Linked DNA regions of Oryctolagus cuniculus. The protein of the gene in region 1 interacts with the protein of each later gene in a biochemical or structural test. Links are inferred from orthologs where the notes say so. Each region holds a gene or a part of one and is shown on either strand. Other genes may lie near its edges.

Region 1 (7,923 bases):
GGAAGACCTCTTTCTCTGTCTCTCCTCTCTCTGTGTAACTTTCAAATAAATAAATAAATCTTTAAAAAAGAAGAAAAAAGATTTATTTGGGGGCCAGCACTGTGGCATAGCTGGTGAGGCTGCCGCCTGAGTGCCGGCATGCCATATGGGTGCCGGTTCAAGCACTGGCTGCTCCACTTCCAATCCAGCTCTTTGCTATGGCCCGGGAAAGCAGAAGATGGCCCAGGTGCTTGAGAGAACACATGCGAGACCCGGAAGAAGCTCCTGGCTCCTGGCTTTGGATCGGCCCAGCCCCGGTCCTTGCGGCCATTTGGGGAGTGAACCAGTGGATGCAAGATTGATCTCTCTGCCTCTGTCACTCTGCCTTTCAAAAAATAATTAAATAAATCATTTTTTTTTTTAAATCATTTCTTTGAACAGCAGAGTGACAGGGAAGGAGACAGAAAGATCTTCCATCTGCTGGTTCACTCTCCAAATGTCTCAGGCTGGGCCAGGCCAAAGCCAGGAGCCTGGAAGACCAGCTGGGTGGCAGAGACACAAGTACCTGCGCTATCACCTGCTGCCTTCCCAGGCACACTGGCACTGAGATATGGGGTGTGGGCGTCGCCAAGGGTCCCTACATTTCACATTTTCTGATATACTCTTGTAATATTTAGTGGAAAACCACCTTGCTTTTACAGAAACTGCGGGCCTAAAAATGGCTCCTCTGCGCCCATCAAAACAAGTCTCCCTTCATCCTCTAAAAACTCGTTTCCAAAATATGAATAAACCTCTATCTGCCAGAATGCTCTAAATACGGCTTTTACATACACCACAAAATCCACTTGTATTTAAAGCTGCCAGAGGGGCCGGCGCAGTGGCTCACTTGGTTAATCCTCCACCTGCGGAGCTGGCATCCCATGTGGGCGCCGGGTTCTAGTCCTGGTTGCTCCTCTTCCGGTCCAGCTCTCTGTTGTGGCACGGGAGGGCAGTGGAGGACGGCCCAAGTGCTTGGGCCCCTGTACCTACATGAGAGACCAGGAGGCGGCACCTGGCTCCTGGCTTCGGATCGGCACAGCGCCAGCCATAGAGGCCATTTGGGGAGTGAACCAACGGAAGGAAGGCCTTTCTCACTGTCTATAACTCTACCTGTCAAATAAATAAATTAAAAAATTTTAAAAAACTGCCAGAAAATTAAGTTTTGGGGGTCCTAAAGCACAGTCAAAACCAAACAAGCGTAAGAAAAACTTTCTAGGCTTCCAAGTCAAAACTGACAATTTACAAAATGTAAAAATTCAACAAGTCTCTGACCAGCAGCTAAACGGAGTGTGTTAATTCCCACTCATGCATTTCCCCCTACTGTGAAGCAGTAATATTTCAACACCGTGATTCTAGTACTTACAATATAAAAATGCAAGGGGGCCTCTTGACATCTTGAAGTAGAAACCACCTCTTCCTATTAAACACAACTTGTGCTGAAATACAAAAATCCAGCCCCAATATTCCCACCTAGGAGTTAAAACACATACCAAGGCTGACAAACCACAAACAGGAAATCACCCTGCACAATTTCTTACAAGACTATTATTTCATTACCGATTGTGTAGAAAATTAACCTCTTATGACTAAGCACTGGTAGGTTACAACCTTGAAAAACCCAATTTTTTGTTGAACACCTAAAATTCAAAACCACACTGGAAGGTGAACGTAGAAAAAGCACGCTCTTCCGAAGAGCAGTTTCTTACTAAAACACCCCCAGAAACGGACTTTCCAAGCTCGTTACATTAAACACAGCCAACACTTAAACGCAATGAAATGCGGATTTCAACTGCGAGAGGGTAAGCGGGCACTTGCTTTAGCAATGTTCAAACACATCAACTGTTTATATTTACCAACACAGCTACGTTTATGTGAAAACTAAGAAATCTTAAAAACAAAACCGCTGTGTTTCAGAATTTAATACAAACGTCTGCCACATGACTTTCTAGGGAAGGGAATTCTCAAAATACCCTAGGTAGGGGTTTTAAGGCAAATGAAAAAACCCTCACCACGATACACTGATGAAACACGTTTTACATTCCTTCCATCACTGATACATTTGCCTCACTAATCCGTGTACCAAGCAGTTCAAACCTCATTTAACTATCTGACTAACAGCTCTCCACCAGACGAGAACTTTTAAAACTGAGGTCGAAAGTAGAACAGCCTGTGTACTTTCTGTACAGTAACAGCAAATTTACTCCATCAGACCCAAGGAACGCATCCTTATCAGTGGTACAGGTTCAACTTATGTGAAATTAGAAGAAAATAACAAAAAAAAATTTTTTTTCAACCTTAATTCATGTCAGGAACTTCTGAAAAGACAGAATTACTCCAAAGCAGTTTACCTGACCGTCTACTAACAATAACTTTACAAATGGCATTTTACACAAGTTTGGAATACCAAGTCGATATTCCACACCGTAGCAAACAAGAATGCCTGTTAGAAGCACAACTTCCCAATCCGTCCCACCTGCAGGCTTTTCAAAAAAAAACAAAGGTTTGGTAGGCGACGAGCGGGCGGTATTTAGCTTTTCAAGGGTCCAAAGGAAAACACCAAAAGCAACCTAGATCACGTTTTTCTCGCGTCTTGGATCAAACAAGGGTTTGTAAGTAACGAGACAGACAGACAAGCGCCTGACCCACGGGCAGGTCCCGCCAGAGAAGGCAGGGATCCGAGCTGCGACTGCGTGCGGCCAGTCTGCAGCCCGCGGAAGGCGAGGGCGCCGAGCAGGCCGGCTCCGGGAGCAACTTTGCCGGGCCGAGCCGCAGCCTGCGCGCGTTCGAGAGCGCACACCGCCCCTCGCAGCCCGCGGCTCTCACGGTTAACAAAGGTTACAGCACCACACGACAAAAAGTGGAAGCAAAGTACCAGCCGCTCCTCACGCGCTCCCGACAACTCCCGCAACCCGAGCTCCGGCCCTCGGGCTGGAGCGACCACAGCCACAACCCACCGAGCGTGCGGCGCCGGCGACCCGCCCGCGGCCGGCGCGCCCACGGCCCCGATCTCGCCCCACCCCAGCCCCCACCCCGCCGGAGCCATGTGACCCCGCCAGCGGCCCCGGCCGCCGCCGCACGCAAACACACCCCTCGCCCGCGGCCCGCGGCGCCCGGGCCGTACCTGCGCCGAGGCGCCAGGTCCCGCCCCGTCAGAGCCGGGGGGCCCGGGACCTTTTGTTCCGTCCTCTTCCGATGGGATGGAGGGAGCTGGGAGGCCGAGAAGGGAACGGGAGAAGGGAGGCGGAACTGAGAACACTCTCGGCGCCGTCCCCGCGCCCCGCCCCCAGGCCCGTGCCCGGCCGGGCGCCCCGCCTCGCGGCCAGGGTGGGGGCCCGGCCACCGCCCGCAGGCAGGAGGGGGTGGGGACGCGCGCGCCCCGCCGCCGCCGCCGCCCCTCCTCCCCACCGGCGCGCGCCCGCCGCCCCTCCCGGCGCCCGCGCCCGCCCCCGCCGGCCCACCTCCGCTTCCGCCCTCCGCCCTCGGCCGCCGGCCGCCGCGGCGCAGCGCACCCACCTCTGGGCGGCTCGCTCGGCGCTCGCGGGCTGCAGGCTGGCGAGCTGCTCCTCCGCCGCCGCGGCCGCGCGGGTAGACCCGCCTCCCACCCCGGGCCGCGAGCCCCGCCGATTCGCCGGCGCAGCCCCGGGGCTGGCACCCTGCCTCCCGCTGATTGGCGCCCCCAGCCGCCCGTTAGGGCGCGAGGCACGCCGGCCGAGCGCCGCGCGGGGCGCGCACGGAAGACGGAGGGAGCGGAGGAGGGAAGGAAGGAGGCCGAGCGCCGCGGGAAGGGCCAGGGGGCGAGCGGGACGCGGGGAGTCGCGGGCCACCGCCTCCCACCTCCCTTTGCCTTCGGCCCGCCCCGCCTCCCGGCCGGACCGGCGGCGCGCGCAGCCAATCAGCGCGCGGGGAGCTCGGGGTGTGAGCCGCGCGTCGGGGGCCTCGAATCGGAAGGGAGACGTCGTTCGCTGATTGGTCCCGCCTCCCCCGTCGAGCGTGAGGCGAGGCGCGGCGCGGCCGGGCGGGGTGGGACGGCCGCGGTTTCGCTCGAGTTGGTCGTCGGCGCGCTCAGGGGCGGGGAGGGGCGGGAAAGAGCCGTACCCCACAGGGCCGGGGTGACGATCTCCGGCGGCCCCGGGCCCTCCCTGACCCCTCGCCAGCGCTGCTGGGTAGCGTCTGTGGGAGACTGACGGCCAGTTCACGCTCCGTCCTGAAGCCGAGAGCTTGCACGTGCTCCTCTCCCGGGAGGCCGCTGGCCTGCCCCAGAGGAGGGGACGCGCCTCGGCCAGCGAGAGGGTCCTGCGGAAGCCCGGGTACCAGGCCGGCGGCTGGCCGCGCCCGTATGCAGATGAGCGGGCTGTGGGCGGGGCCTTCGTGCGGGGCGCCGGGGGGTGGGGGGGCGGGCCCGAGATCCGTTCTGTGCTTTTGGGGTCCGGGTAGGAGATACTGGGTACTTTTGTTAAACCTGAACCTTGGGCCCCCCGTTAGTAAAAATGACATTGGTAATGCACGTGCAGATTGGTCCTTGCGGAGTCTGGAAGATGAGCACCCGGCGCACTGCCCCTTGACTGCTAGTTTGTCTCCCCTTGCTCTTTGGTCCCCGTGCGGGCAGTGTTCCTTGGCCCCTGTTGGAGGCAGCAAGGCCCTAAACTGCCCAAGCACGCACAACACTTAGGCGCAGTTTTCTTGGTTTTATCTTGGGGGCACGCAAGCCCCTAAGAACTGTTGAGCCCAACTAATCACGCGAAGGATTTCTTAAGACCCTACTAGTGGGGCCAGCTTTGTGGCTTAGCGGCCTAGGAAGTAAAGCTGCTACCTTCGAGGCTGGCATCCCAAATGGGTGCCAGTTCGAGTCCAGACTGCTCCACTTCCCACCGACATCCCTGCTAATGGCCTGGGAAAAGCAACTGAAGTTGGCCTGCGTGCTTGGGCCCCTGCCACCCACGTGGGAGACCTGGATGACGCTCCTGGCTTCCTTGTGACCCTCTGGGGAGTGAACCAGCAGATAGACGATCTGTCTCCACTTTTTCTGTCCATAACTCTGACTTCCAGATGAATTAATCTTTAAAAAAAAAAAAAAACTAGTTGGGCAGTGAATCCCATAGGACTGAAGTTGAACAGAAACTGAGCTCACACAGGTAGCTGGTGGCAGGAACAGGAGTTTGCTTGGCTGGATGTCCAGCCTCATCCTCTCGTGGTCCGTCCTTTCTAACATAATTGGAGACTCTAGAGAAACAAGCTACTGTAGCAATACAAGTCAGTAATCAGGAAGTACTAAGTGAGCATTTGAAACAAGTGTTTGACATATACTCCTCTTTTCTCAAAAAACGGGGCATCCCAGAGGAGGGTGTCTTCAGATGCACCTTGAGAGAGAACTGACCTTCCCACAATCTCTCGGGTTTCCCAGATGCCCTTGCAAACTGCCCTTCATTTCTGCCATCCTGCTCCTCAAACACCAAGAACGTTTCCCCTGGAAAGCTGGAGTGAGGAGCACGAACCCTGGAGCCAGGGAGATTGCAGATTTGGACTCGGCTGGCAGGTCCCCCGATCTGTGGTCATTTGGCCAGTGGAACTCACCTGCAATGATGCCTGCTTGTAAACAGTTGTGCAATGCTTCATTAAAATTATGAAAGCAGATAGCGGCTGGCGCCGAGGCTCACTAGGCTAATCCTCTGCCTTGCGGCGCCGGCACACCAGGTTCTAGTCCCGGTCGGGGTGCCGGATTCTGTCCCGGTTGCCCCTCTTCCAGGCCAGCTCTCTGCTGTGGCCAGGGAAGGCAGTGGAGGATGGCCCAAGGGAGACCAGGAGAAGTACCTGGCCCCTGCCATCGGATCAGCGCGGTGCGCAGGCCGCGGCGGCCATTGGAGGGTGAACCAACGGCAAAAGGAAGACCTTTCTCTCGGTCTGTCTCACTGTCCACTCTGCCTGTCAAAAAAAAAAAAAAAGCAGATAGCACAGGGCTTTGAAGTTAAAGGAAAGTCAGTGCTTTGCAGACATCTAGGCTAAGATGAACCTACTCAGCAGAAATTCTTCCTTAAACAGTTTTCTTGTGAGGTTATTGCATTGTCAGTTTGGAGGCAGCTCTTACAACTTTTTAAAAGGGGCTTGAGAAAGAGAGCCAGGAACCCACCTCCGGGCCTCCTGCTTCCATGCTCCAGAACCGTCAAGAAGGACCATGGAGGGCAGAGCCCATTCTTGGGTTTGGCTCCTTGTTCCTGCTAATGCAAGTCGACAATTTTACCTGCTATGAAATGGCATATAAATAATGGCCCTGGCACACAAATATTTTCTCCTATCGCATTGGGTGTCCACCCGGGTAGTGGGAGTAGGAGCAGAAGCAGGAATGGCTGGGATTCCGGGAGAATCTGTTCCTAGTGTAATTCAAGCAGATTTTGTTAAATTCATTTACTTATTTGAGAGGCAGAACACTCCCATCTGCAGTTCTCTCCTAAAATGCCCACCATGATTGGGACTGGGCCAGGCCAGGTCAAAGCTGGGAGCCAGGAACTCCATCAGGGTCTCCCACGTGGCTGACAGGAACCCTGCATTAGCAGGAAGCTGGAGTCAGGAGCTGGAGCCAGGAATCAAACCCAGATGCTCCAGTATGGGGTGCAGTATTTTCACACTGGCATTTTAACTCAGGCCAACTGCCCACCCTGAGAAGATTATTCTTCATATTTTTATATATTTTTTACAATTCAATAGGCAATATGTCTGAAGTCTCACTTAGACCATCTCTTCAAAGTATCAGACTCCGGGTCCTTAATTCTTCCATTTAGGAAGCCTTCCAGAATCTGTAAGATTGGGGAAAGGAGAGGCTACCAATGTAGTCCCCAAATGGCTTAGAAATGAGAGCGTGTCTGCTGTCCCCTCTGTTAGAAATGCATCTAAACCAAAGTGGGTCAGGACAGAAACTGAAGGCACGTAGAGCAGTGATTGCCATGGCAACAATCGGCTTGGAAATCCACTAGGGTTCCTCAAGATCTATCAGTAGGTCCCTATCGTATACATTATACTGAGCGAGTCTTATTTTTATATGGACAACACCAAGTTTAACCCTTCATTACACATGACATTGCAAAGCCCATAGAATCTGAATCAGTTCAGGAGGGAAAAAAAGGAGTTCAGTGTGATAGAAAGACACATCAGAAAAATGATAATCATGGTTGCTCCTGGAAGGAGCTGGAGGGTCATGAATGGAAAACTTAAATTGCATCACTGATTCTTCTGTAGTTCAGTTTTTAAAAAATATACCCATGTGTTGATTTTTTTTTTCAAAAGACATAAGTCATACTCCATCTTCTTGCTGATCAATCTGCAAAGCCCTTCCTGGCTTCCCCAGCCCAGAGCTGTATCACTCACCAGTGAGTTGTCCCCTTACAGAGTGATAGACCATGACTTCTCTTGGATGAATGTCTTGGTCCATTAGTTTAGTCTTAGGCAGTTTCCTGATTTTTCTTGTGTGTATATTTTGTCTCCACATCGGCACTGTCAATACCTGAAGTAGAGAGACAGTTCATTCTCAGTTGTCCTCCCACATCCCTACCAAAATACTGAATAAAGAAAGGTGAAACGTAGCATCTGTGCCACAGAAAAATAATACATGTGCCACAGACTGCAAGCATTCCCTGTGAGTCTGCCCCCTCCTTCCAGCTCGCCCTTACCCTCGATACAACTGTTAGAGCTCGTCTCAACAGCCAAGTTCTATATCTGCTCATCCTACTGGGCCTAAGTTGCAGGAAGCGTTAACAAGGTAAGCAAAGAGCCAGTGACTTGCTACTGAAAGGACAGTGACATTAAGTGAGGCAGTCTTAGTAAAAATTGTAAAGAACCAATGTGTGGGCTTACTTTCATCATAAATGATAATGGAAAACCCAGCACTAGCTGCATTTTTATATTGATACAATGAAA
Region 2 (6,413 bases), on another chromosome or scaffold:
TTTTTTTTTTCCTTAATTGAAAAAAAATGTCATTTGTGACTCCTGACTTAAAGCAAGAACAGAAACAGCCCGCGGGCGGGGCGGGGCGGGGCGGAGCTCCGACCCCGCACGTGAGCGTTTTTCTTGTTAAAAACAACCCAGAAAACAGACGATTACCAGGTGAGAAGGGACCACCATGTACACGTATGATACAGGGCGCCGAGCGGGTCTGTACAGGGCTGCGGCCGCCGGCGCTGCGGGCCGCGCCGCCGGGGTAGCTGCTCGAGAATCAAGGTTATTGCTGTTGGTTTTCCCTTCGTTAAAAACCTCCTCGCGAGAGAAACCATGAGGATTAAAGTGAACACGCGCTGTCTGGATGACGGGTTTTACGGACGGGAGTCAACAGCCTGTCCTCGCAGCTGGGCCGGCCGCGGGCCAGGCGCGGGCCCTGCGCTGGAGCGGCCGGAGGACGGGCGCCCCGCCCAGGCCAGGGCCCCGAGTGCGAGCTGCTGGTGAAGGGAGCCCACCCCGGCTCCCGCGGGCGCCCCCCGCAGGGAGGGGCGGGAGGCGAGGGCCCTGGGGGCAGAGGCGCCACCCGACGCTGGGGAGGCAGCCGGCCCGGCCCGTGGCCCCAAGGGGCGCCCGACAGAAGACACGGGCGGCCCCGGGCGGGCCTGGCGACACGGAAGCCACGCGGAAGCCGACACATTAAAGCTTTGCTCCAACTAAACCACTAAGTTTCCCTTGAAGAAATGACGGAAAAGCACAACTCTGGCGAACAAGGCGGAGCCGGCGCTACTGCCCGTGGTGGAGCGACCTACGGCAGGGGCGTCCCGTGCCTACAGACCCCGGGACTGCGAACGGACGACAGAAGCCAAGGACAACGTCCACACAGACGCTGCGTATACACCATGTCCATTTTGCATTGCACTTGAGGGGGCGGCGGCGGCCGCGCCCCCGCGGTAAACCGAGGGCCGACCCTGCAGACTCCGCCGCCGGGGGGCCGGCCGTCCTGGTCTCTGCTGCGGCGCCGCCGGCGCTGTAACGGATTCGGATTCGAGCAAAGAATTCCCGCGCGATCTTCCGCACTCAATAAATACCGAGGCCGCGGGGCGGGCCGCTCGTCTCCTGGGAAACCACTTTTCAAGCCTGGGCGTAGGAAACCGTCTACGATTTGCATAAACAGTCGAGAGCAACGACACTACCTGGAATCAACGCGCTAACTCATCTGCGTGGCAGCTCCCATCGCCACGGAGACGGGGGCGCGCGGGGCGACGCGGTCAGGACTCGCCGCGCAGGACGCTGGAAGGCACAGGGCGGCCCCGGAGTTCAGTTTTGCATTTTCGTTTTCTTGTGATTCCCTTGTTCAACCAAGCACCAGAGGGGTTCCGAGCACGGGAGCGCTTAGGGCTGGCACTGCTCCAGGACCGGAGAAACCTCGCGCACGGCCGGGACGACGCGGCGGCGGGCGGAGCTGCCGGGCGCTCGGGCGCACACCGGCGGGGGCGCGGGTAACGCCGTGTCTGGTTCCGACGAGGACGGGGCGGGGGGTAACGCCGTGTCTGGTTCCGACGAGGACGGGGCGGGGGGTAACGCCGTGTCTGGTTCCGACGAGGACCGGGGGGGGGGGGGTAATGCCGTGTCTGGTTCCGACGAGGACGGGGGGGGGGGTAATGCCGTGTCTGGTTCCGACGAGGACCGGGGGGGGGGTAATGCCGTGTCTGGTTCCGACGAGGACGGGGGGGGGGGTAATGCCGTGTCTGGTTCCGACGAGGACCGGGGGGGGGGTAATGCCGTGTCTGGTTCCGACGAGGACCGGGGGGGGGGGGTAATGCCGTGTCTGGTTCCGACGAGGACCGGGGGGGGGGGGGTAATGCCGTGTCTGGTTCCGACGAGGATGGGGCGGGGGGGGGGGTAATGCTGTGTTTTGTTCTGACGCTGCAGCCTCAGTCCCCAAATCAAGGAAGCGGGGGCAGGGGGCGCCCGGCCACGCCTCGGGCCCACGCAGGCCAGCACCTGGGGAGCCGAGGACGGCCGGGGCGGCGGGCGGCCCCTGCGTGGCTCTGCCCTTCCTGGCGGCGGCGGGCAGCGGTAAGGCGGGCAGGGTGGGCTCATCTCGCACGCGGCTCTCCCCCTGCCCTTGCCGGGGGCGGCAGGGAGACGCGGGTCCCGGTCGCTGAAAAAATAGACTGAAGAAACCTCCGAGGCCGCGGCGGCCGCGGGCACAGATGAGCGGCGATGGCTTCCCCGGCGGCGGCGGCACGTGCTGGGGCTTTGAAAAGCAGTCATTAAAAAAGGTTGATTTTCTGAACATCGAGTCTCCTTATTGGTTTAAATAGCTTATAACAAAAGTGTAAATGTTAGACGGTTCCAGCAAGCAGAGGGCCAGCCACGGGCCGCCGGCGTGCGCGCGCCCCGGCTCGCCCCGGCCTGGGCAGTAAATCCCGCGTGGACGCCAAGTGCGGCTGCGACACTCGGGAGTAGGCACAGTAAGACGTGGTGGGCGCCCCGCCGCTGGGGGTCAGGGCTGCAGCTCGCCGGTGCCCTCCCCGCCCGGGCGCTCGGGCTGCGGCCACAGCTGCTCCTGCAGGCCCCGCACCACCTTCTCCAGGTGCTCCCGCGCCTCGCGCTCCCGCAGCAGGTCGGCCCGCAGCTGCTCCCGGTCGGCCTCGGCGTGCTGCAGCTTCACCTGCAGGTCCTCGATCTGGAAGGCACAGCGCCGTCAGCCGCGCCGGCCCGCACACGGCTCCGGGGCGGGGCGGGGCGGGGCGGGGCGGGGCAGGGGGCGGGGCGGGGCGGCCAGGCCGTCGCCTACCTGGGCCGAGTACTTGGCGCGCAGGCGGCCGGCCTCGCAGCCCTGGTCGCACACCCGCGCCTGGCGCGCCTGCTCCAGCTCCCGCTTGAGGCGCAGCCGCGACTCGTTGGCCTCCTTCATCTTCCTCTCGTTCTCCGCCCGCAGGCGCTCGATCTCCTTGCGCAGGCTGCGCTTGGCCTCCGTGGCCTCCCGCAGCTTCTCCTTCTTGGCCACGCGCAGGAACTCCAGCTCCTGGGCAGACCCGGCCCGTGACCACGCAGCGGGGCCACTCCCTCAGCCCCTCCCCCGCCCGGCCGTGACCACGCAGCGGGGCCACTCCCTCAGCCGCCCTCCCCGTCCCGATCGGACGGCCACCAGCCCCCCACGCGGCCTGCGTGGGTCCCATGTCTGCCGCAGCGGGGCCTCTGGCTGCTGCTCCCCCAAGCTGGGCGGCCACAGACCCAGCCGGGGAGCCCCCGTCCCTACCGAGGCGTGGGGGGGGGCTGCCAGACGCAGCTTCGGGAGCGGCCAGAACGAGCAAGGCCAGGGCCTCCGCCTCCCCGGCTCTGAAGACGACACGCGGGGCCCTGGGAGAGGCGGCGGGTGCACGCGTGTAGGTGTGTGTGTGCGCAGGGTGTACACACACCTACTGTACACACTCTGCCATGGTGCACACCGGCCCAGCAAGTGGGGCCACTGGGCGGGCCTCTCAGAAGCCACGGTGCAGGGGGTGGCCAGGAAGGGGCGGGTCTGGACGCTCACCTGGTGCAGGGGTGGCCAGGAAGGGGCGGGCCTGGGTGCTCACCCGCTGCAGGGGTGGCCAGGAAGGGGCGGGCCTGGGCCCTCACCCGCTGCAGGGGTGGCCAGGAAGGGGCGGGCCTGGGCCCTCACCCGGTGCAGGGGGTGGCCAGGAAGGTGCAGGGGTGGCCAGGAAGGGGCGGGCCTGGGCCCTCACCCGGTGCAGGGGTGGCCAGGAAGGGGCGGGCCTGGGCCCTCACCTGGTGCAGGCTGCGCCGGGCCTGCAGGGCTGCGCTCAGCTTCTCCTCCTGCTTCACCCGCATCTTGACCACCTCGTGCAGGAACTTCTCTTTGGCTTCCTTGGTGTCCAGGCCGCCCTCCAGGGCCTGCCGCAAGTGCTCCAGCTCCGCCTCCAGCCCGCTCGGGGCGTCGGCGTGGGCCGCAGCGTCTGGGGCGGCCGGGGGCGGGGCACGCACGCCCGGGGAGCTCAGGTCCTTGGCGGAGCTGGACGAGGCAAAGGACGGGGAGGAGGTGACTGAGGAGAGACGGAGCAGTCAGCGGGCGCCCATGGAGGCCCCGCCGCACCGCCCGGCCCGGCCCGCGGGCGGGAAGCCCCCTCACACTTACATTCCTCTCTGCTCTCCACCTCCACCTCGGCCTCCGAGTCCTTGTCCTCCTCCGGGGCGGCGCCGGGCGCCGGCATCTCTGGGGCTCCGGGGGTGTCCCCTGCCAGCTTCCGCTTCCGTGGCTGGACGCACGTGGGGAGAGGCTCCGGCACCCGGGACACGACGGTGGCACATGGTGTGCTGCTCACGACCTTCTGGGGCGGTGGTGCGAGGGCCACGTTGGGGGCCACGGCCGTCTCGAAGCTCTTGTAGGAGTAGAAGCTGCGGGGGTGTGCGTGAGCTGACCGTGGCTGTCTACCCGCCCTGAGCCCACCCGCGCTGGCACCACGGTCACAGGACACACCCCTCGGAAGGCCACAGACAGGAGGTCTGTGTGGCCAGGCAGGGGGTCCAGGAAGCCTGGAACAGGGACTGACCTCGAGGACCAGGAGGCCACGCCCTGGGGCCCCCAAGGACCACACGGCTCTGGAAATGAACCGGCGCTGTGTGGCAGCTGGGCGAGAGGCCGCAGGCCCAGGCACTCACCTGTCTCGGATCAGGGCTGGGAGGTGCGGGGACAGCTCTTTCTCAGTTGAAACCGCAGGGGACCAGGGTCGGAACGCGGAGAGGCGCTGGCGAGGGTGGACACAGCTGAGGCTCTGTGGGACAGGAGTGGCCTGTGTGAGCCGCTGGGCAAGGACAGGCTGCCCCGTGTCCTGGAGGCTAGGCCGGGCACAGCAGCCAGTGGCAGGGCCCACTCCCAGAACCGCCCAGTGGCCCTCCCCGGGGGCCTGCACACAAAGAGGTCTTCCATCTGCTGGCTCACTCCCCAGATGGCCACAGTGGCTGCCACCAAACCCAGAGGCCTGGGACCCAACCCCGGGCTCCCACAGCCCGCACGGCACCTTGCTGGAAGAGCTGGGCAGGGCCCGCAGCCAGCTGGACGGCTTGTCCTTCTCGGAAGACGCAGGGGACTGGGAAGAGGAGTCGTCTGTTTTGGGTCTTACGGAGGCCGGAGGCTCGGAGACCTGTGACGGACACAGAAGACGCTGTTGGTGCCCGGGGCCCAGGTGAGCAAGCTGCCCGGAGGAGGACCGGACGGCACCGCGCACCCAGCGGTGAGATGAGACGGAGCCCACTGCTCAGGGCCAGAGCCAGGCTTCGTGCCGGCGTGAGGCGGTCAGGGTGACCTCCCCCCACAGCTGCAGCAGGCTCTGTCCCTGTGTGTCTACACCACCTTCCTAGAGCCAGGGTTGCTCTCAAGCGGGGCCCTGGCAGGAAGTGGCCCCTCCCTGCAGCCAGGCTGAGGACTGGGGCTCCCAAGAGCCAGCAGGAGCCGAGGGTCCAGCTCTGGAGCGATGTGGACGAGCTCCACCGAGGCCCTGGGCTCCCCTAGGAGTGAGAGCCATGCTGGTCCTGCCTGCCCAGGGCTCTTCCCGGGAGCAGGGAACGGCAGGAAGCCCGTCTCCCCAAGGCCCCGGGTGGGGGCAGGGACGCCCTGGCCAGAGTCCTTGTGCACAGCCCCTGCCCAAGGCCTCGAGGGCAGCCCCGGCAGACCGGCCAAGGACAGCGTTCCCAACAGCGCTGCGCGCAGGCCCCGCCCAGGTGAGCGCGGCCAGGGTGGGGCTTCCTGTCTGAGGAGGCCTGAAAGTGCACCCGGCGCTCACCGAGGAAGCCACAGATGCCGCGGCCTCCCAGAAACGTCAGACTTGGCGGGGGGCGGAGTGTCAGCGCGGCTGGGCCTGGCTGGGCTCGGGGAGCCCCGCAGGGCGGCCGGGGGCCTGGCCTGTCCACCGTGTCCTCCTGGGGGCGGGCGCAGGGGCCTGAATCTGGGGAGAGGCATCGGGAGCCAGGGCGGGACCGGCACACAGGGGCCAGAGTGGGCACAGCCCCCCCGAGGTTCCCGCACACAACCCCATGGGCCCCGGCAGGCGGGGCGGGCAGGGATGAGATGTGAGGGCATTTGTTAACAGGGAGAAGCGCCGAGCCACGAGGGCTGCAGAGCCTGTGCCACCCCTGCGGGCTCTGACGGCGTCCCGTCTCCCGCAAGGCCCCGAGGGGCAAGCCAGCACCGCCGACAGCCGGCTGCACCCATCCTGGTGGGGTGAAGGGGTGAAAAAGCCTGCTAGGGCTGCTCCTAGGAACCCAGGACCGGCCCCCTCCCCAGGCATGATTCTGGAACCTTCCTACTGGTCTGGGCTGAGGCGCAGACAAAGGCACGAGACAAGCCGGGTCTGATATTCGAGGTGGATGACGTGAGGTCAGCTGTGGCCAAGGTTGCCCCCATCACCCGGTTC
Region 3 (6,339 bases), on another chromosome or scaffold:
GACCATAAGTAAATCTTAAGAGAGGAGCAGAATTTGTGTCTAAACAGTAACAGAGGGGATTAGCTGCAAAGATAGCATAACTGTTGTGCAGTAGAGTAGAAGCTGCCCAGGTCTTCTTAGTGGACAATGCATAGAAGACTTAGAATTATGGAACAGTTTCCCCAGCCATCCTTTCCCACCCCTGTTCCCTAATGCCCCCCTACGTCCCCCCTCCCCCAATTAATAGTGTTAACAAAAGCTTAATCTTCCAGTTTTAAAGTGCAAATGATTTGGGTGTGACTGCTGTTGCAACAGGTATGAACAGAAAAAAACGAAGTCCTCTGTCTATGCAATGTTTTCCAGAATATAAAAGATGAGTTCCATGACGACGGGGCCCTCACTGAGCTGGCAGGCCCCTCCATGGATCACTGGCACCAAGGCGCTGTCCAGGTCATTCATGTATTGCGAGGGAAGGGGCTGGCCATTGCTCCCTGCTTGATAGCCAACCTATACCACAGAGAGAAGGGGATGAAGGTTACTAGACTGAGACGATCTTTTCAGAGGGTTCAGAGTCAAAGAGGCTGAGCAGGAAAGGAGATGTCCTTGGCCGTGGGCTGTACACACAATGGTGAACACAGATTTCTCCTCTTCCCTGAGTTGTCATTTAATAATCCTGATCACTTAGCTTAAGATTTCGGGCAAGTCTCTCAACCTGCTGCGGTCTTAGTTTCTAGGAAAGGGGGTGCTGTGCAGAAAGAGGGGGAGTGTCAGAAAGAGTGCCTTACTTTCCTTTGGTTGTAAAAATTAAAATCAAATACATAAAGTACAACTCCTAACAGCAGGAACTGAGAATCTGCCCTTCAGTCCTCCATTCATCCATGTTCCATCTTCTTAGCACCCACAAACAGGGATTCTAAGATGAATGGAACCAGGCCCCTGCCTTCAAGAGGCTCACTCAATTGGCAGAAAAATGCTGTTCTTTAACTGTTTTATGTAAGGGAAATCTCTGTCTCCAGCCTGGTTATCAGTGTCATTTAAGAATGTGCCATTTGTATTACCCTGGCATGCTTCGTACAGCACTAGGCAATACCTCAAGTACAAAATAAACTTGTTGACCGATGGCTCATCAGGAAATGGGGCCCGGCACATAACCTGTCATCCTAACAGCGCAACTCTGTATTCACGAGCCAGCTTCTCCCTGTAAGCACTCAGGATGGAGCGGCTTGCTGTGTAGAATTCATACTCAGGCTGGCGCCGCGGCTCACTAGGCTAATCCTCCGCCTAGCGGCGCCGGCACACCGGGTTCTAGTCCCGGTTGGGGCGCCGGATTCTGTCCCGGTTGCCCCTCTTCCAGGCCAGCTCTCTGCTGTGGCCAGGGAGTGCAGTGGAGGATGGCCCAGGTGCTTGGGCCCTGCACCCCATGGGAGACCAGGAAAAGCACCTGGCTCCTGCCATCGGATCAGCGCGGTGCGCCGGCCGCAGCGCGCCGGCCAAGGCGGCCATTGGAGGGTGAACCAATGGCAAAGGAAGACCTTTCTCTCTGTCTCTCTCACTGTCCACTCTGCCTGTCCAAAAAAAGAATTCATACTCAGCTAGGAATGGTGATCAAGCTGAGTCTACACATTTTCTAAGTGACTCCAATCTAAAGTGTTGATGGAGAACTACAGCAATGTTTAAACATCAAAACAGGACCAATGGAATAAGTCACAGGTATCCAACATGCAAAAGAAATGCAGAGAGATCAGAGTGCTTAGCCACAGGAGAGACACTGGGACAAGGAACTACAGCTAGGGAGGGCTGAGACTGGACTGGTGCTACACAGAACATATAAAAAAATTAAGTGAGACAGAGAGGGAAGCCTGGCAACAGGAGACCCAAAATGACAGGAAAATTAATTCAGAAATAGCTCAAGTCCTATTTATTCACTAATTAGCCTGGTAAATATCTCCTTAAGGCCTGGGCAGCTGCAGAGTCCAGTCCACAGAAACCTGCCCTAGCTGGGTGAGGGACAGCTTGGGCTCTGCCTTCTGAAGGAGCGCTGCTGAATGCTTCCTGATGGCGGGAACGGGGTGGTTCCAGCGGCAACAGGTCCTCACTGTACTGCTCCATATTAGGGAGGAAATCAACTCCTTGGAGACATGGAGATGATGAAGCCACAGCTCAAATGATTCTGAGAGTGACCAAGCATATTGGGATATATTAATATTCTTAGAAAGCCAGAATACTACATCTGGTCAGGCAGGAGGTCTGGAAGATTCAGCTTCCTGGATTGTGGCAAGAAAACTCAGAAGGCAGAAAATACAGACACTACCCCCAAGGCCGGCTTCAACTTCTTACCTGGTCTGAGTCAAGCGTCACACGTAATCCCAGTTTTGTCATTCCATCTTCCTTCAGAAGCTTCAGGTGGGGACAGAGAGCGAGGCAGAAAGCCTTGGCAACGTGTTCCGTCAATCTGCTATGATCTGCAGGATCACTTAGGCAATTGTGCTGGTCATCATTTTCTAGAAAAAACACCTGCCACCCCCCCCAAAAAAAAGATTTTTAACACTACCTAAATTTTGGAAGAAACAAGAGCATTAGTTTACTGTATATGAACACCCTGATTCTTGAAGATGTGTAAGATCTCAGGACACCATGGTCCTTGGGCCAGGAAAATAGGGCACTGATGTCTTAACGCTTGAGAAACAATCCCTGGAGGCCAGCACTGTGGTGGACTAAGTAAGGCTGACGCCAGCATCTCATATGGGTGCCAGTTTCAATCCCAGCTGCTCCACTTCCAATCCAACTCCCTGCTAATGCACCTGGGAAAGCAGTGGAGGTTGGCCCAAGTGTTTGGATCCCTGTACCCATATGGGAGAAATGGAGAAAGCTCCTAGCTCCTGGCTTTAGCCTGGCCATGCCCTGGTCATTGCGGCCATTTGGGGAATGAGCCAGCAGATGGAAGACTTTTCTCGCTGTCTCTTCCTCTCTAACTCTGCCTTTCAAATAAATAAAATAAATTAAAAAAAAAAAAAAACAAACAATCCCTGCCTCTCTTTCCATGACTCTGCCATGGTTATCATATTATATTGTACTCAGAATCAGAAAAGGACTTCATTTTGCACTGTGTGCTTCTAAAAGGTAATCCCCATTTGTAGACAATTTTCCTAGGAAATGATCTTAGGCTCTTAAGAGAATAGACTTCATAGATGATGTGATCCAGCCCCTTCATTTTAGTTTACTCACTGACCGGCTCAAGTGCAGAGAAGTACTGAGAGGCAGAACTAAGCCCAGAATCTGAGTCTTCCACCTCTCGTTGCAGGCAGAGCTTTTTCCCACAAGGCCCTGCCACTGTGGAGGCCAGAGCTGTCTGCGTTCACAGAGAGCAAGCACTGCACTGTGCACAAGCGGAAGCTTAGCAGACTGGAGATGGGAGACTCCAATACCAGTCACACAGACAAAGGGTGCTGAATAATCCAAAGACTAAAGGAAAGGAAAGGGCTTCTTAACATCTAGTTTGCCTCTAGATGGCAAATGCAAAGCACATGTGCTCTCTGGTTGTTTGAAGTTAAAAATTATAATGGCGAAAATACAAAAGAGAACTGCAAATACACAATGTTTATATACACCAACCTCTAGCTTACTGCTCAGTAAGGGGCTCATCCTGAGAATGCTATCAAGGAAGCAGCTCTGAGGCCCTGTGCCTGGATGCACAGGTGAGAGCAGCAGCGTGAAATGATGGAAAGAGTTCTGGATTGGGAGTCCACAGACAGGTGCTGTGGGCCCTGTTCTGCCAGAAAGTTACAAAGCCACACAGTCTCAGCCTGTTTTCTCATTTGCATAATGGGATGACTAGACTGCCTACCTCACTGAGTTATTGGAGAGCAAAATGGAGGGAGCAGAGATCAAACTAGTTTATAAGCTAAAAAGAATTTTGCATGTTCTAGACTGCCCTGATCAAAATGTGTCAAAGGAGCAACCATTACAAACCAAGCAGCTAAAATCACCAAACTGCATATGAAAACATGGGGCCTGGTATGAAGGAAGGGTCACTGAAACACCAGCTCAAGACCTAGAGAGCTGGGTCCCAGTCCCTGTGTATCAGGGACCAGCTTTGTGAATCTGGATAAGATACTTTCATCTCTTTTGGTCTCAACTTCCTGTGTGTAAAATAGAAAAGCTAGAAGTCACAGCCTTTTCAGAAAGAATTAAAATTTTAAAGTTTAAAGGATGCCTAGAGATCTTATTATTCAATCATTTATTTTATAGATGAGTATATATGAAGCTCAAAAGCAACAAAGAGATTAAGGCTCTATCTGTTCGCTCTGTAAACATACTCTGGCTCAGGTTAGCCTCTAATACAGCTTTTGAGTTAAGGAGCCATTTAGTTTAGTAGAAAACAGCTTTGGAGTTTGCCAGATCTGGGTGTGAATTAGGATTTTTGCATTATTTTACTTGCCTTGTAATATTTGACATGTGACCTAGTCTCAGAAGTTTATTTTCTTATTGGCAAAATCAATCTATTTAGGATTGTGTTACTTATCCAAGAGAGTTCTAACTTTAAGTGCAACAAAACCAACCCAATTTATGGTGAATACAGCAAACCATTCAGAGATGCACCCTTCTTGAATTTCAACACAGATCAACCTCTAAAAGCTAGTTTCCGAGAAGCAGCACACCTGGGAATGCTGAAAGCTGTATTTGGTGGCATTTCTTCCCAGTGATCTAAGACCAGAGTAAAGTGGAGTATAAAAGTAAATATAGATTTTATTTTTTTAATCCTCCAGAATCTTCCCAGAATGGGCCCTTGGCCTAGCAAAAACTTGTGCTCAAAGTAGGTCAAGGGTGTGAGGTTTCATTTCCTTACCTCTGTCCATCTGATGACTTTTCCATTTGCTTTATACTCTGATCCATGAAATATCTTCACATTTGTTATAGACTCCATGGACTTCCCATCTATCGGACTTATGACACTGAAGTAAAGGCAAAGGAAAGAGAAGCAACTTTTTAATTTAGAGGAGCCATTTCTCTTATCACGTCTTGCTGCTCATTACACTGGATTCCTTGCTGAACTCAACTGTGCAGCACATCACAACAAGATGACATACAAAAATGTACATGAGCAGAGCTCTCATGCAAAGAGCCTAAGCGCTGAAATATGAGTCAAAGAACACATGTGTGCCCTCAAGAAGAAGGCCCTTTCCTTTATATATATGTATTTTTTTTTAACAGGCAGAGTGGACAGTGAGAGAGAGACAAAGGTCTTCCTTTGCCGTTGGTTCACCCTCCAATGGCCGCCGCGGCCGGTGCATCACGCTGATCCGAAGGCAGGAGCCAGGTGCTTCTCCTGGTCTCCCATGGGGTGCAGGACCCAAGCACTTGGGCCATCCTCCACTGCACTCCCTGGCCACAGCAGAGAGCTGGCCTGGAAGAGGGGCAACCGGGACAGAATCTGGTGCCCCGACCGGGACTAGAACCCAGTGTGCTGGCGCCACAAGGTGGAAGATTAGCCTAGTGAGCAGCGGCGCTGGCCCTTTCCTAAGAGCTGCTTCTCTTTAATGTGAACAAAGTGTTCAATCAAATCTCCTCTCCCTACAGTCCTTCTTGCAGTGAACCCAAGGTCACTCACCCAATCTTGTTCTCTATTATGGTCCTGGGATATAATGATACTCATGTTATACTCCATATTTTTGCATATCTGAATGGTGGAGAATATGATATATTTACCTCTGTGTGCTCTATTCCTAGTACTCACCTACTGCTTAGAAATTGGGAGGTTACTGAATGTTCATTAAGAATTATTTGAGGGACCAGTGGTTAGCCTAGAAGTTAAGACACATATCACATTGGAAGAACTGGGCTATAGATTCCTGCTAATGCAGACACAGGGAGGCAGCAGGTGATGGCTCAAGTAATTGGGCTCCTGCCATTCACCTGGGAGAATGAATAGTAATTCCAGCTCCCAGCTTCAGCCCTGGCCCAGCCTTGAACATTGTGGGCATTTGGGGAATGAACTTGCAGATGGAAGCTCTCATTTGTTTCTCAAGTTAAAAAAAAAAAGAATTATTTGATAAATGTGTTAATTATGGCAATGTGGATATGAACTCATTAATAAGTATCTGTGGCGCTGTGGCGTAGCAGGTAAAGCTGCTGCCAGCAGTGCTGTCATCCCATATGGACGCCATATGCTCCACTTCCGATCCAGCTCTCTGCGACGGCCTGGGAAAGCAGTGGAAGATGGCCCAAGTCCTTGGGCCCCTGCACCCATGTTGGAGATCCGGAGGAAGCTCCTGGCTTTGGATTGGCGCAGCTCTGGCCATTGCGGCCATCTTGGGAGTGAAACAGTGATGCAACACCTCTCTCTCTCTGCATCTCTGTAAC

The links. The genes of interacting proteins can lie anywhere in the genome.
Region 2: the proteins of SMAD2 (region 1) and SKI form a complex in vitro, tested with the Homo sapiens proteins (4 studies listed by BioGRID). The link is inferred for Oryctolagus cuniculus from reciprocal best matches to the Homo sapiens genes SMAD2 and SKI.
Region 3: the proteins of SMAD2 (region 1) and ZFYVE9 are reported together in a solved structure, tested with the Homo sapiens proteins (2 studies listed by BioGRID and IntAct, with this or other methods). The link is inferred for Oryctolagus cuniculus from reciprocal best matches to the Homo sapiens genes SMAD2 and ZFYVE9.

What each region holds. Positions count from the first base shown.
Region 1 is NC_091441.1:29,769,696-29,777,618, reverse strand, and holds the start of SMAD2 (mothers against decapentaplegic homolog 2), read right to left. Parts: upstream 4,363-7,923; 5' UTR 4,114-4,362; intron 3,896-4,113; exon of another isoform or gene 3,477-3,895; intron 3,364-3,476; exon of another isoform or gene 3,140-3,363; intron 3,042-3,139; exon of another isoform or gene 2,891-3,041; intron 1,455-2,890; exon of another isoform or gene 1,382-1,454; intron 1-1,381. UniProt on the Homo sapiens protein: Receptor-regulated SMAD (R-SMAD) that is an intracellular signal transducer and transcriptional modulator activated by TGF-beta (transforming growth factor) and activin type 1 receptor kinases.
Region 2 is NC_091438.1:163,609,138-163,615,550, forward strand, and holds part of SKI (ski oncogene), read right to left. Parts: intron 5,145-6,413; coding exon 5,022-5,144; intron 4,776-5,021; coding exon 4,663-4,775; intron 4,399-4,662; coding exon 4,139-4,398; intron 4,047-4,138; coding exon 3,772-4,046; intron 3,026-3,771; coding exon 2,795-3,025; intron 2,684-2,794; coding exon 2,501-2,683; 3' UTR 1-2,500. UniProt on the Homo sapiens protein: May play a role in terminal differentiation of skeletal muscle cells but not in the determination of cells to the myogenic lineage. Functions as a repressor of TGF-beta signaling.
Region 3 is NC_091438.1:120,589,413-120,595,751, forward strand, and holds part of ZFYVE9 (zinc finger FYVE domain-containing protein 9), read right to left. Parts: intron 4,932-6,339; coding exon 4,826-4,931; intron 2,494-4,825; coding exon 2,317-2,493; intron 487-2,316; coding exon 325-486; 3' UTR 1-324. UniProt on the Homo sapiens protein: Early endosomal protein that functions to recruit SMAD2/SMAD3 to intracellular membranes and to the TGF-beta receptor.